Mytilus edulis: one gene and its partner. The protein of the gene in region 1 purifies or fractionates together with the protein of each later gene. This does not show direct contact. Links are inferred from orthologs where the notes say so. Each region holds a gene or a part of one and is shown on either strand. Other genes may lie near its edges.

Region 1 (7,861 bases):
GTTATGAATGGAATAAACACAACATAAGTATAGGGTTATATCAAACTATGTCAGTATTAAAAGGGACATGTATTTAATCACAGGATATTTCTATAATCAGATTGCAACAATTTTAATGTTACATTTAACATGTTTAATTACAAAATGAACATGTGCATTTGATGTGTATTGAAATTCAATCAATACTAAAGAAAATGAATTTTATTAAAACATGATGGTGACTTCAAGAATTTGTGTAGCAGAAATAGATACATTGTATCAAAGATGAAAAAAAGCAATTCCAGCCTTAAATTAAGATACAATGTACACTGTGGCAACAAATACAATTTTTTGCATGTAGTTTTAATGGATTTGGGTTTGAACTGCGGTCATTGTACTAGGTTAAGACCCATATTGATAACCTTCAGTATTAGCCTACAAAATCAGTACAATAACTTGACTGCCAGTCTGCCACAGATCTAGACATGAAGATACATTTAAACAAAATTGTTACATCATACAAAATTTTGCAAACAAGTAAATTGCCAAATAGATTCTGCAAAAAGTTTAAATAAAGATTTTTAGTATTGTCACTTTAAACCTTTCAAAAAAGTCTCCTTCCTCCTGGAACTTACTTCTTTTTACTATACAGAATTCGCTTAATGTCCAGTTGCAAATATTTTATGCATGCTCAGGACAAGAAAAAATAACAATATATATAATAGGTAGGTACTGTGATGGTGGCCTTATAACGAGATGAGGGTCTGGGAATAGGACTGCCATGTACACTGGAAAATGGGGGTATCTTGGCTATGGACATAAGTTTAGCTTTAATTGATAACAAACCATTTCTGATCCCTCAATATAGACTTGGTGATCAATATCTAACTTAATGTACAATGTGTAATTGTGAAAACTAGAGCATGAGATTCCTTCTATTGTATTAAAGAGACATTCATGTCCAACTAAGGACCCTTACATTGTGTATGTTTAGTTATATATAGCACAGTTTTAATATCTTAACAAAAGGAGTACTTTCTTGGTGCAGCTAATGGAGAGCTTTTACTTATCTACTAGATTAAGGGAAGCACCACATTTCCCAAACCATAAAAAGTCTTTGACATAAACCATTATGACAACTTGTAATTTCAATTTTCAAACACCAGCTACATATATGTATGTATATAATATGTAATCTTTAAATTTCTTTTAATCAATGTGTCTTTTAATTTCAAGTTGCAGTTCCAAATGACACTACAGAGCATGAGATTCTTTCCAAAAATAGCAGAGAATGGAACCAATGACATCTGGGGTAGACTAAAGGGGCTAATAATTACATTAATATGTACATGTACAAAAATTCAATACCTGGCTTTAACAGTTACAGTAGTTATTCTGGAGGAAATGTTCTTCTATTAAATATATTCAACTTGTGTACAAAAATATACATTTGTACAGATTCACAACCGATCATAACCTTTGATCTCTAACCTTCAGTCCTTGAAATTGATTTGGTCAATGGTTACAATTTACATTTGTACATCCCATTAAAAGTTAACCATATACATTATGCATACAAAGTTATATGAACTTCAATTAAGCAAAAGGAATGGATAACTGCATGGTCACAGTTTGGACATTTGACCATGAAATATCAATATGAGTCAAGGTGTTAAATAATGTCAAAATGTTTGGTCTGTAGTGTTTTCAAAAGGAGTTGATCACCCAGATAAAATGACAACCACACACTGCAGACCCACAATTCCAATGTTATAATCATATATTTTCATCTGCATCTCACCTAAGAAAGGATTATAAAAAATGTGACAAAAACCTCCTTTTGAAATCCTCCAACATTTGTATTTTGCTTATTTTGTCAACCATGAGGGTTCAAAATTCAAGTCTTTTGGAGATTCTCAGATCTAGCATGTCTAGAGGACCATGAGTCTACAAGCGATCAGGTTATGTTAGCTAAAAGTTCTCCTGATTTCAAATACATCTTTTTATTTCCACTTCGATTGTCAAATGCATACATCTACAATGTATGGTGGCCTGCATATGAATTTACAAAATGTATGTACATTATGTATAATCCACTACATTCTTTAATTAATGGAATGGTTATACCCGGCATTGGTGTGTATGTACATGTATGAGGGTAGGAATGCCCTTTACTGGCAAATTGGTTAAATTTCACTGAGATTCTTCAACGATCTTATCATGTTTCATTAGAGGTCTCAAATAATTATCGTTAATGTTATATATTTGGAAAAAAAAATAACCTGAATCGTCAAAATCAGTCGATATATTTTTTATCGTCATAAAGAAAGTTCACATTTTTTCGTCATGCACCAAAAATTACCTTAACATCATGATCATTTGACAAGGATTTATACTGTTATTCATCATAAAGGTACCCCCTTAATGGCCCTCATGTATACATTTGACACAGAAAAATGAATAATTGTAAGATCTGACAAGTAGTTCATTCCTGGAAGTATAACATACTAACTGGATATACTGGCATCATTAAGGTGTGATAACTGGGCAATAATTCACCAACCTAAAATGCAGAAGTGACCTAAGAAAATATTTTTAAATTCTAGTTTCTACAGAGTTACTTCCCCTGAAAACATGAACTATCGAACACATGCCAACAAACTACAGAAGTACAGCTGTTCTCGTCGTATTATGCATGTCACCGTACACTTTCTACGGATAAAATCTAGTATGCTAGCTATCGTTTGATCGTTTTGCAGTCTAGGAAGTGTTCATAATAAATAAAAACTTCCAAAACTTAAACTGCTTACCTGTCTCGCGGGTCAATCCAGCTAGTTTGATGTGTATTATGGTCTATAAAGAAAACTTTGCCGTCAAAATCACGGCATTCTTCCCAACCTTCTGGAAGAGGGATCTCTCCCCCACTCCGTCTCTTGGGCATATTTCATTGACAAAACATAAATAAATCCCTATCATCACAAGTCCTCCATGTTTCTCTCCCATATCTCATTAGCATATCTGACGTCACAAACAAATAATTTCAATGACAATTCAACCAATGAGGAACAATCTTTTTATGAAAGGAATGTGTTACAATTTGATAACACAATGTGAATCAATTACATTATTAAAGACGTGAATTAAGTATTTAAAGGTGAATATGATATTTTTTTAAACACAAATTTCCATTTTAAATCACAGTGAGTCTACTGACTGCATGTCATATTTAGACATATTTCCTGATAAGTGCTAATTTGTAAAATTCTTCCCATTTTATAAAATTCCTACCATTGAAAAATAATAACAACAGTTTTTTATCATCAATTTAATAAGGTACGTAGTTATCACTAAAAGTATACGTGCAAGATTGTATTTCAAATGCAGTGGCCTCAATTAAATTTCACCATAGGTATATGTACACTCAAAATTGAAAAGATCAAAGCGAACCACAAAAAATTAGCTTGACTTAAATAAGAGAAAATCATACACTTAGAGCGGCACGATTGTTTAATTTAATTACTTATCATCATCATTTATTGATAATTTACATCAATTAATCGTTTATTTATAAAACAGAGCTGCCTAATGCACTTTTTTTTAAAATACCGAGATATTTTTCAAAGCCTCTCAATTCATTAATGCTTGTCATTTCGCTGTTAATAGGGACTCCGGCCTGAAGTATGTCCAAGCTGAGACAACTATTATAATCTCAGGTCCTAAGTGAACAGAAATTTGGATGATTTTATGGTGAAAACAAACGAATGTCTAACAAAAGGGGGATACACCCTCTACTCCCCAGAATTCGAAACTGATCTTGGTAAATTTACCAATAAATAAAGTCCTAAAAGGCTCATAAATATTTGTTCCTTATATTACTGGCAAATGCATTCGACACCGAAACAAACCCAGGCCCTCGTTCACCTAGGTGGCCTTGCGGAAGTTGTAGTAAGGCAGTGACATGGAAACATCATGCTGTCTGCTGCGACTCCTGTGAAACTTGGTACCACATCGATTGCCAAGGAATACCAAACCAAATATACAACATAATGAATAATAGTAATATAAGTTGGCACTGTATACAATGTGGTATGCCAAATTTTAGCTCAAGCTTCTTTAACTTTACAACCTTAGAAACATCAAATATATATGACAGCTTATATAAATTCACCAAGCAGTCTTAGAGATGTAGGAAGTCCAGGTGCACCAACAGCTGCATCATCTCCAATTCCACACAAACTTCCCTGTCATGAAAAAGCTTATACAACAACAAAAAAGAGCAAAATGCCATTAAATTCTAAACATGAATTTTCAATCAATTAAAAACAAAAAACCGGACCTACTAGAAATTATTGATACTGTCAAACCAGATATCATACTAGGTACCGAAACATGGTTAGAACCAAACACCTCTTCTTACGAGCACTTTCCATCAGATTTATATAATGTGTATCGCAATGACAGGGCACCAAGTACCAACAACCAAAGCTATGGGGGTGTACTTATAGCAATTACAAAAGAATTCATAAGTTCAGAGGTAAAAGAACTAGAAACTGAATGTGAAGTAGTCTGGGCAGAAATCAATATCGCTTGCTGAAAAACATCTTAATATCATCCTACTACAGACCACCATCTGACACAGGATTGTCTCTAGAGCAACTCCATCAATCTCTAAATCGTATCAATAGTCAATCAAATGCAACCATCTTTGTGGGGGTGATTTTAACTTGGGACATATTGATTGGTCAACATCAAGCACAATACCATGCAAACCTGACATACAACTTCACCAAAATCTCTAAGATATAATGAATGACACAAACCTACATCAAGTTGTCAATACACCAACAAGAAATGACCGTATACTAGATCTCATAATGATTAACAACCCAACATACATCAACAAAGTAACCACACTACCACCAATAGGTTCAAGCGACCATGATATTGTTTATGCCGAAGCAGACATCTGGCTTAAGAAAATAAGAGAAACCCCACAAAAAGTATACAAGTATAACAAAGCCAACTGGGACGAAATTAAACTTGACATATGTATCATCTACAAAACAATCATTGACAACTATGATTCTCTTAACGCCAATGAGCTATGGGAACTATTTAAAACCAAACTCATCAGCTCTGTCGAAAAACATATTCCATCAAAGATCCTACGAAACAAACACCGATTACCGTGGATATCTGATAAATTTTAAAAGACGTCAAATTAACAAGAAAAACAAACTTTTCAAAAGGCAAAAAAAAACAGGGAATACACTGAGAAATATAAAAAAAGATGAAAGCTCAGGTACAAAAAGAACAAAGGAAGGCCTACTGGGAATATATTGAAAAACTCATATGTGATCTTCCCATCAATGAACCAGACATTCAAATACAAAATCAGAGCAAACCTAAAAAAAACTTTTTCAATACATCAAATCAATAAAAACTGAAGGATCGAAAAGCTCTTAAATAAGATCAACCCACATAAAGCCACCGGCCCAGATAACATCAGTGGACGCTTACTGAAAGAAATGCAGACAGAAATAGCACCAATTCTATGCTTAATTTTTAACAAATCCTACAACACTGGTATTTCACCTAACGACTGGAAACACGCTAGAGTCGCACCAGCATATAAAAAGGGGGATAAGCATAAACCGGTCACTTATAGACCTATCTCATTAACTTGTATTTGCTGCAAGTTAATGGAACACATAGTAACATCACATATTATGAAACATCTCATATCAAATAACATCTTGTACAACCTTCAACATGGCTTTCGGCGCTCTCGATCTTGTGAGACACAACTTCTCTCCTTCATCCAAGAACTTCAATCCACAAACAACTCAAATACTCAAACAGACCTTGTAATAATGGACTTTGCGAAGGTCTTTGATAAAGTACCGCATCGTCACTTACTATACAAATTACAATATTTTGGTATTAATGGAAACACTTTAAACTGGATCTCTGCATTTCTCTCCGATCGAACACAGACAGTTGTTCTGGGTGGAAGATCATCAAGCACAGTCCCAGTCACCTCTGGGGTTCCACAAGGTACTGTCTTAGGTCCGTCTTATTCTTAGCGTATATCAACGACCTTCCAGACATCCTTACACATAGCAAACTAAGATTATTTGCTGATGACAGTATCATATACATGCCAGTTAAATCCCAGAGTGACTGCCTAAAATTGCAAGCTGACCTTGACGCAGCTGCAAAATGGGAAGAGGACTGGATAATGGCCTTCCACCCAGACAAGTGTAATGTTCTCTCTGTCACAACTAAACGTCAACCTCTACAACATAATAACACTCTTCACAATCATACTTTAGAAACTGTTACATCTGCTAAATACTTAGGCATCACATTACAATCAAACCTTAAATGGGACAAACACATAGATGACAATATATCGAAAGCCAACAAAACTCTCGGCTTCCTTCGAAGAAACCTGAAAACAGCAAATCAAAACATCCAGAGCCAGGCATACCAAGCACTTGTCCGTCCCAAACTCGAATACTCTTGCTCAGTTTGGGACCCCCACACTTCAGAATCTATCTCGAAGATAGAGATGATCCAAAGGAGAGCTTCTCGGTATGCCTGCAACAGGTATCATAATACTAGCAGTGTATCAAACATGCTGAACACACTAAACTGGCCCATTTTAACACAACGCAGACTGCGTGCACGCCTGGTTATGATGTACAAGATCACACATCCTCTTGTTGCTATACTATCTAGCACAATTCTCATCCCATCAGACTCAAGAACCAGAAAACATCATTTTCACACCTTCAGACACATTTATACATCAAAAGACTCGTACAGATTTTCATTTTTTCCCATATACAATAACTCAATGGAATCTTTTACCAACCGCAGTAGTAAATGCACAGACAGTCGACTCTTTCAAAGATCAGCTTACATATGCTGTTCTCTTCACTATCTTTTAAAAATCTTCATTTATTCAGATGGAAAACTGGAAAACTTGAAGAAGAAGAAGAAGAAGAAGAAGAAGAAGAAGAAGAAGAAGAAGAAGAAGAAGAAGAAGAAGAAGAAAGAAGAAGAAGAAGAAGAAGAAGAAGAAGAAGAAGAAGAAGAAGAAGAAGAAGAAGAAGAAGAAGAAGAAGAAGAAGAAGAAGAAGAAGAAGAAGAAGAAGAAGAAGAAGAAGAAGCGAGCTCAGACTCTCTGAAAATCACACCAAATGTATTAGGAAAAATTGTAAGTTATATTGGCCAGCAAAGATTGGACAAAAAGAACTGATGACCACCAAAACAAATAAAAGGAGATTAGATGGCTAGGGCACACTTTAAGAAAAGACAAGAATAACATCACCAAAAACATCAGAACGTAGACGAACAAGAGAAAGACCAAAACGACAATTGACATTGAAATTAAAAGCATAGGAAAGACCTTACTGAGTTCCGAATGGAAAGGATTGCAATGGAGATAACTGGTATATATCATCCTTATATTCCAACCGACACGAAGAGGATTAGTTATAGTTATTTAAAAGGAAAAATAAACATAAAATCCAGTAATTCGAACACTTACACATTAAAATTTTTAGATTTTAGATAGCGGCCGAGTGTGTAAAATATAGGATTAAGATTCTAACTATAAGTAGAGGAAACACACAAAACTACAACCAATATTTCTATTCGGAAAAAAAAGTAGACTTTACCATCTAGAAGAGGAGGTGGTCAGTGCCAAAGTTCAAGTCGACTAAGCGCATTCATGCACCAACGTTGTAAAATTACCTAATTGGTTTCTTCAACAGTGAGATTTATAACTTTTAAGAGGGACAGAGGATACCAAGGGGTCGATAGTATATCAGAAGAAACACGAAGAAAAGACCGACAAAATACAACACAGAAA
Region 2 (7,155 bases), on another chromosome or scaffold:
AAAATATATCTTGTTGGTCAAATTTTTGTATTGAGTAAATTAGCTTGATGATACAGAGCATAAAATTTGAAAAAAACAAACTAGATATCATTGAGATGGAAGCCATCTCTGTGGGCCCGCTGTGAATAATGTGTGGTAAAAAATGTGTATCTTTATCATTAAACATGGGGTTGTCAACTGAAACCGATGATTTTGACCTTGATGATGATCTTTGACCTACGAAGTTGTACATAAATTATGACACACCCTCTGGTGTTGTATAATATACATGTCAAGTATAAACTTTGAAATCATAACAGTTGTCTAGACATAGAGTGGACACAATTTGTTATGGACAGACCGACGTACAGAATGATCACTATAGGGCATTCGCCATTCCGCAGGGCCCTAATTAAAATACCTTTTTATCAAATTTGAGCCATGCTATATATCCTTTCGTGTCAACATACTGCAGACCAAAGTACCATGTTTCTCTCAGACCAATTGTTCTACACACCAGTTCAAATAAATCTTTGCCTGTAGCCTTGTGCTAAAAATAGAATAAAACTTAATGTATGTCTAGTATGTACTTACACATTGATTAAAAGTTTATTTTATATTACTTTAAGGTATCTTTTTTTCATATTTTGTCAATGCTTGTTTGTTTTTTTTAATTCTGAAATAAAGAAGAATCTTTGTTTCCTATTTATTATTGATTTTACTTTTTTGAACGTTGATGATCCTGAGGCCACTACTAAACTTCTTAAAGTATGCATATATATTTCCCAACTCATTTGCTAAGCATATCAGCCAACTTTTCAAAATGTCGAAGTGGGTTTTATGTTCAAAATGGCTCATTTACTCCTACAAAACCTTCAAGGGGGCCTTCAAATATATAGAGAAGTAACAAATCAAGATATTTTATCTTGAAATTGTAGATATTTTAAGTTTAATATGTATTAATAGAAAAACAGGTGACATATTTTTTAAAACATCTTTTTAATTATAAATCCACCAAAAAGGCAATGACAAGTATTACAAGAACGGGTCAGAATTATTAGCATGTCATTGAACAATCAATGCTTCAATATGTCCATGTGTTTACATGTTTAAGTGAATTTCAAGAATTTATACCACACCAATATCTGAATAAGTTTCTTAAACTTGAATGCCATTAGTATAAATATATTAAAAAAATTTGTAAGGGTTCCGCGGAACCCAGTGTCTTGCCTACTCTTTCTGTTAATCTCAGGCTCAACAAAAATGAGGAAATAAATCAATGAAATATTCCTGTTGATACTATCTTTTGATTGTAAGAAGCTTCTGTCCAAGTTTTGTAAAAATCCAGGATAGTTTATGAATCTTATAAATGTTTAAAATCTTTAACTGCAGACTGAATGTAATGTTAACTGGAAGAAAACAAAATTTCCTTCTAGATACTAGCTTTTGATCATAAACAAGTTTCTGTCTGTCCAAGTTAAGAACAAATCCAAAATAGTACATGTATAAGAAAGTTATTAAAATTTTAAAAAGTTTAACCACAGAGTGAATGTGTTGTTTCCTGGCAGCAAATCTAAGTCCATTTAAAAGTAAAATATGAAAATATAGATTTAGTCATTTACAAAATTTCATTCCTGATACTAGCTTTTGATCATAAACAAGCTTCTGTCCAAGTTTGGTACAAATCCAAAAGAGTATAAGAAAGTTATTAAAATTTTAAAAACCACAGAGTGAATGTGTTGTTTCCTGGCAGAAAATCTAAGTCCATTTAAAATTTAAATTCGGAAAAATGGATTTATTTTTTTTACAAAATTTACTTCTGGATACTATCTTATGATCATAAACAAGCTTCTGTCCAAGTTTGGTACCAACCGAGGATAGTTCAAGAAAGTTATTAAAAAAAATTTAAAAACCTTAACCACAGAGTGAATGTAATATTTTCCTGTAGAAAAACTAAGTCCATTTATAAGTAAAATACGGAAAAAATGGAATTTTATTTTTACAAAATCTACTTCTGGATACTATCTTATGATCATAAACAAGCTTCTGTCCAAGTTTGGTACCAACCGAGGATATTTTAAGAAAGTTATTAAAATTTCAAAAACTTTAACCACAGAGTGAATATTTGTGGACGACGCCGACGACGACGGAATGTATGATCGCTTAGTCTCGCTTTTTCGACTTAAGTCGAAGGCTCGACAATAAAAGTAGAGAGAACGAACTCATGGCAACACACTATTCAATAATTGAAGGATTGCTAGAAACTGAAAGATTTAACTCTTGATGTTTTAACACCACTCCACTTTTAAACACAGCTTTTGAGCTATTTTGTGGTGGCAAGTTTTTATTGGATGAAGAAGCTGAGGTGCCTGGAAAAACCCGCTGACTTTCAATTGGAAAACTGACAATCCTAGTCCATTAAGATTGGAATAAGTACACCCGTACCAGCCGGGTTCAACTCACAACCTCATTGTTGACTAGTAGTAATTTTCAGTAATAACTACGGAGACAACTCTGCCTCAGAGATCGCAGAAACTGAAAGAAGGTGAAAGACTCTACAGGTGAACGAACACACCAGATAACATCTATCTGGGTACGAAATGACTAATTTTTAAATAAAATTATGTGTGATTTGACTTCAGTGTGATATATATGTGTTTCCTATTACTTAACTAATTTAGTAGTTTTACAAAATATCATGTCAGAGACGATTTATCAATCAATAACACACAGTAATGCTCGAAATATTCACCTCCACAGTCGTGAAATCAAGTTCTGCATCCATTGTTGTCACTTTCACAGCAAAACTTTTTGAGCTACCTGAGGCCTGAGCAGCCTTTTTCATATTAACAAAAGGCATTGCGGCGTTTAATAAGTCTATCGACTAATCTAACACTTTTACATGGTGCTCATAAAACGAATAACCGATCCCTTTCATCTTCATCTTTCACATTTATTCAATGTTTTCATTTTTCATTTAAGTTTGAAATGCTTTACAAGCCACTGCTAATACCGTTCTTGTAAAGCGCTTAGATGATTGCATTTAAAAAACCGGAAAAAGAGGTACAATTGACGCATGCGTAGTAAGCTATATATTTAGCGGGAATAAGCAATCATCAGCAAATAAAGCAGAAAGCAGTCACAGCACTTTCACAGAAAAACAACACAGAATGGCACCAGATCTAACATCGGGTGCTATTGAGGTTAATCAAATTTTGAAGAGGCGAATAACCATTCAACAATCCCTGTTTAAACTTTATGTTATCATGTCCTTCTTTCAGTTACAATGTATAATTTAATATAGATCTTATAAGCGATGTCCGCCGATGAGGGAGTCCCTTCTCTTTATGGTTAGAGTTAACCGTTAGGTGAGATGTGTACTTTAGGTTTAAGTCAGATTTAACATTCTTGATGTCGGATACACATGTGCCTACACCAGCTGTGCTGTGGAGTCGTATGTGACATATATGTCCTTGATTTAATTGATGCAAGCTTCTTTATCATAATTGCTGTATTTCATTCATCCCAATGGGTCCTACTAAAATGTGTCCGGGTAAATAAAAGCGCCCGGGGAAGAAAAAATAGCGCAACTTTGTGTTGATAAAATAAGTTGTGCACATTATTTTTTTTTTAATTTTAGACAAGTAATTTTTTTGTAATAAAACAAGTATGAATGTTTCAATTTTAACAATAATATAATTTATGAATACAATTTCGAAAGACTGATTATAATGGATCACAGTTTATGCGGAAGATTTATAAAATGTAAGACATCAAAAGGCATTGTTTTTCAAAAACAATATCAAAATGAAAAATGTAAAAAAAACGACTTAGATTTCACAGATTAATATATTAATTTAATCAAAATTAAAAGAGTTACACATAATACATCAGCAAATAAAGCAGTACTATACATGTACCGTAGTTAAAACAAGGGGGTAAAAAGCAGGAGTTTGGTTTAAATTTAAAACTAAGCATTAAAACCCTGATAACCATAGCCATTGAAACAGTTTTAGTTTCATAAAAAAGATATAATAAATGTATATCAGCATCTGCATAAAAAGTGTTCTCCATGCAGTTGCGAAAATATAAGACTTCAGGCATCATATCCACATTTATATTAAGGACAAAATTTATTTTTTTTAAATTATCATTGCATAACAATATATTAATGTATCTAGGCACTCATACCACATCTTCCTTTAATCTGTCTACATATTATACTTGCTCTTAATTGAAAAGTATTTAGACAGTCTATGTGTTGTCTTACACTGTTTTTTTTTAAAGTTTTGAGTGACCTCTAGTATTATCAGATGGTGCTGGGGGCTAAAGTAAATAGGCTCATCCTGTTGATATTGTGACAAATCTGGACTTATTATTGTTATTATTTAACGTATTATTTATTGTATATGACATATATTTATTTGAATATTGCCGGGTGGTCAACTTCTCTCGAGTGCACAAACACTGATAAATGCATTGACTTTCATACTCATGATTTAAACTATTTGTACTTTGCAAGCGATAAGGGTCAGTTTTATATGTATATCTTGGTAATGTTTACCTATGAAATACTTTGATTATACCGTCATACAGTGATTTATTTTGACAAATATCGTCGTGAGATTCAACTTGTTTACATCTGCCACGACACCGTTTTGTACTTTCACTTTGCGATCTCACATTATCATTTGTTTAAGTTAACACTTTGTCAATGCAGATAATTTGCGTATTTATTATGTTTGTGCCTCCCTTTTCATTAACATTGTCTTTATTTATGATAGAACAGGGTTTTCATTGATCTTATTTAAGCATTATATCTAATGCGTAAGGTTATGTAAATTACACCCAAGTTCATACGCCGTACCGAGAAAGGAATTTACTGTCCGTTTAAAAATAGCATTATGTAGAAATGTCCTTTTAGTTTCATTTGCTTTTAAACATAATTCGGACAAGAAGGACAAAGTGAGGACAACTTAATAATGTTTCTTTATCTAAGAATAACGAAATCTGTTTGTCTTTCTAAACGTTACTAGCCAAAAGACGTAAGAAACGTTGCTTTTGATTGGATGATTAGATGTTTACTCTAACGTCATAGTAAGTGCCAAAAGACATAAATAGGAGCCTGTAGACACACATGTCATTCTGAATCAATCTCTTGAACCGTCAACTACCTTTTATATTGACCACCCGATTTATTGCTTTATCTGTTGAATGATGAATGTGTATTTGATGTTTATTATATTGAAAGAAGAAGTCAAAAAACTGTTGAAATAAATATCATTGTTATGTTTATTACAAATCTGTTTCTTCACACTGCCGTCGATTCCACTCCTCCTGAATGATGGTTAAACAGTTTATAGTAACCCTAGGTTTGTTACAATATCATCTATACCATGGATGATGCATAGACTCCAGTCACTCCAATATCTGTAAAACTTATATACTTAGATAAATAAATGTCTCAAAAAAATTTATCGCCTTTTGGTCATTCAATATATTTTTTACTGTTTTCTATAAAGCAATCCAAGTTGGATAAAATTCCTCAGTGTGAAAACTTTTGGATGAATATCTTAATGACTTAAAAAATAAACTTAAGCTCCTTCGTGCAATTGTAAATCCTATTGTGCTATAACTTATAAAGTCTTGTGTGTTTTCTTTTTGTAGGCTATAGTTGGTGGAAACAATTTTGATAGACCTGTCTTGCAGATTATTGTAAGTATGAAGACACACTAGTGGTCTCAGGCTTTTTTATGCTCTTTCGTCGGGTTGTCACTTTGACACATTCCCCTTTCATCTCAGTCTTATTATTTACAAAAGGGGAGTGGGAAAAAACCCAACTGATAACTTCTCTTCTTATGTATTAAAATGTTCTATATTCAGGTATTAGATAAATCTACAAAAAAATTGAGATGTGGTAAGATTACCAATGATACAATGCAACTATCCACCAGAGAAAACAAAAAGGAAGTCAAATAGGTTAATCTATTACACATTTTCCATGAATATACATTTCTTCTATAAGAAGATTAGAATAAATATTAACATTAAATTTTCTGACTTGTCTCCCCTTAATTGGCTGAGAAAATGTAACAAAATTTATTTTGTATTTGTGAATAGGACATTATGTAATGTGATTTCTTCATTTTGATGCATCAAAATATTGGTTTACTTTCCTTAACTTTAGTGTTTTTGTCTTGGGATGAACAAAAGTCTGAAATATAAATGAAATTAGTATGATGACAAATTTTGGTCTTTTATCTCTAAAACTAATTTTGACAAATGAGTAAATCAGATTTTCAGGAGCTGCTTAGTCTTATCATAAATTAAATACTTTAATATATTTTTGAAATTTTGATTTCATTTCTTCTCATCAATTACATTTCTATTCTGCAGAGCTCAAAGAAAATAACAGCAGCAGGATCCAGTGCAGATAGATACAGACTCCTCCTATCAGATGGACTTCACAGTTATTCACGTAAATATGTGTATATTGCATATGAGTAAAATCACAAAATTATTTTCTTATCTTGTACAATTTCAAAAGGCTTTGTTAAAATTAGTTTGGAAGAAGTTGTATGTACAAAGTATAAGGTAGTGTTTGAAAGGTTCAAGCCTAAAATAAAATATTGTTTGTTTCCCCCATCCCGACCGACTCTGCAAAAACAGTGCTACTCATAAAATTTTATTGTCAAAACTAAGTCAAATATTATTTTCATTTCCAATATCCTGGCTTGCCGGATTGTACGATATTGTTCAACCTTTTTGGAAAAATAAAATTATTTTCCTACCTACCTACCAACACCTGGCTCGGCAGGGTCGGGAATGGGGAAACAAACAATATATTAATTTAGGCCTCATGATTTCATCATTTAAATTAAGTTCGTTTAAAAGGAAGATGAAGAAGGCCTTTCTAAAGTATTTATAGAAAACTGAAATTTAATTCAGATTTTTAAAAAAATTATCTAAAAGTTTTGACCACCAAAATCTTACAAAGGATAAACTTTATTTTGGTATTTCACTATAGAAATAATAGTGGGGACCAACAGATCTTTTTGAAGGACCACCAGAGAAAAAAAGATTTTGAATAATCTGTTAATTGAGATTGTTTATGGTTTAAAACATGTATGTTTAGTTTTCCATTTAGTTGTACATAGAGTATAATTGGTCAGAAAG

Evidence for each region. Proteins that work in one complex are often made in the same cells at the same time.
Region 2: the proteins of protein WWC2-like (region 1) and merlin-like purify together in Drosophila melanogaster (affinity purification with western blotting; 3 studies listed by BioGRID). This does not show direct contact. The link is inferred for Mytilus edulis from reciprocal best matches to the Drosophila melanogaster genes kibra and Mer.

Annotation. Positions count from the first base shown.
Region 1 is NC_092351.1:26,011,823-26,019,683, forward strand, and holds the start of protein WWC2-like, read right to left. Parts: upstream 3,003-7,861; 5' UTR 2,921-3,002; coding exon 2,790-2,920; intron 1-2,789. UniProt on the Drosophila melanogaster protein: Regulator of the Hippo/SWH (Sav/Wts/Hpo) signaling pathway, a signaling pathway that plays a pivotal role in organ size control and tumor suppression by restricting proliferation and promoting apoptosis.
Region 2 is NC_092349.1:5,679,644-5,686,798, forward strand, and holds the start of merlin-like, read right to left. Parts: upstream 3,019-7,155; 5' UTR 2,840-3,018; coding exon 2,732-2,839; intron 530-2,731; coding exon 401-529; intron 1-400. Other genes in the region: replication protein A 70 kDa DNA-binding subunit-like, read left to right, coding at 3,150-3,182, 5,647-5,694, 6,376-6,457. UniProt on the Drosophila melanogaster protein: Regulator of the Hippo/SWH (Sav/Wts/Hpo) signaling pathway, a signaling pathway that plays a pivotal role in organ size control and tumor suppression by restricting proliferation and promoting apoptosis.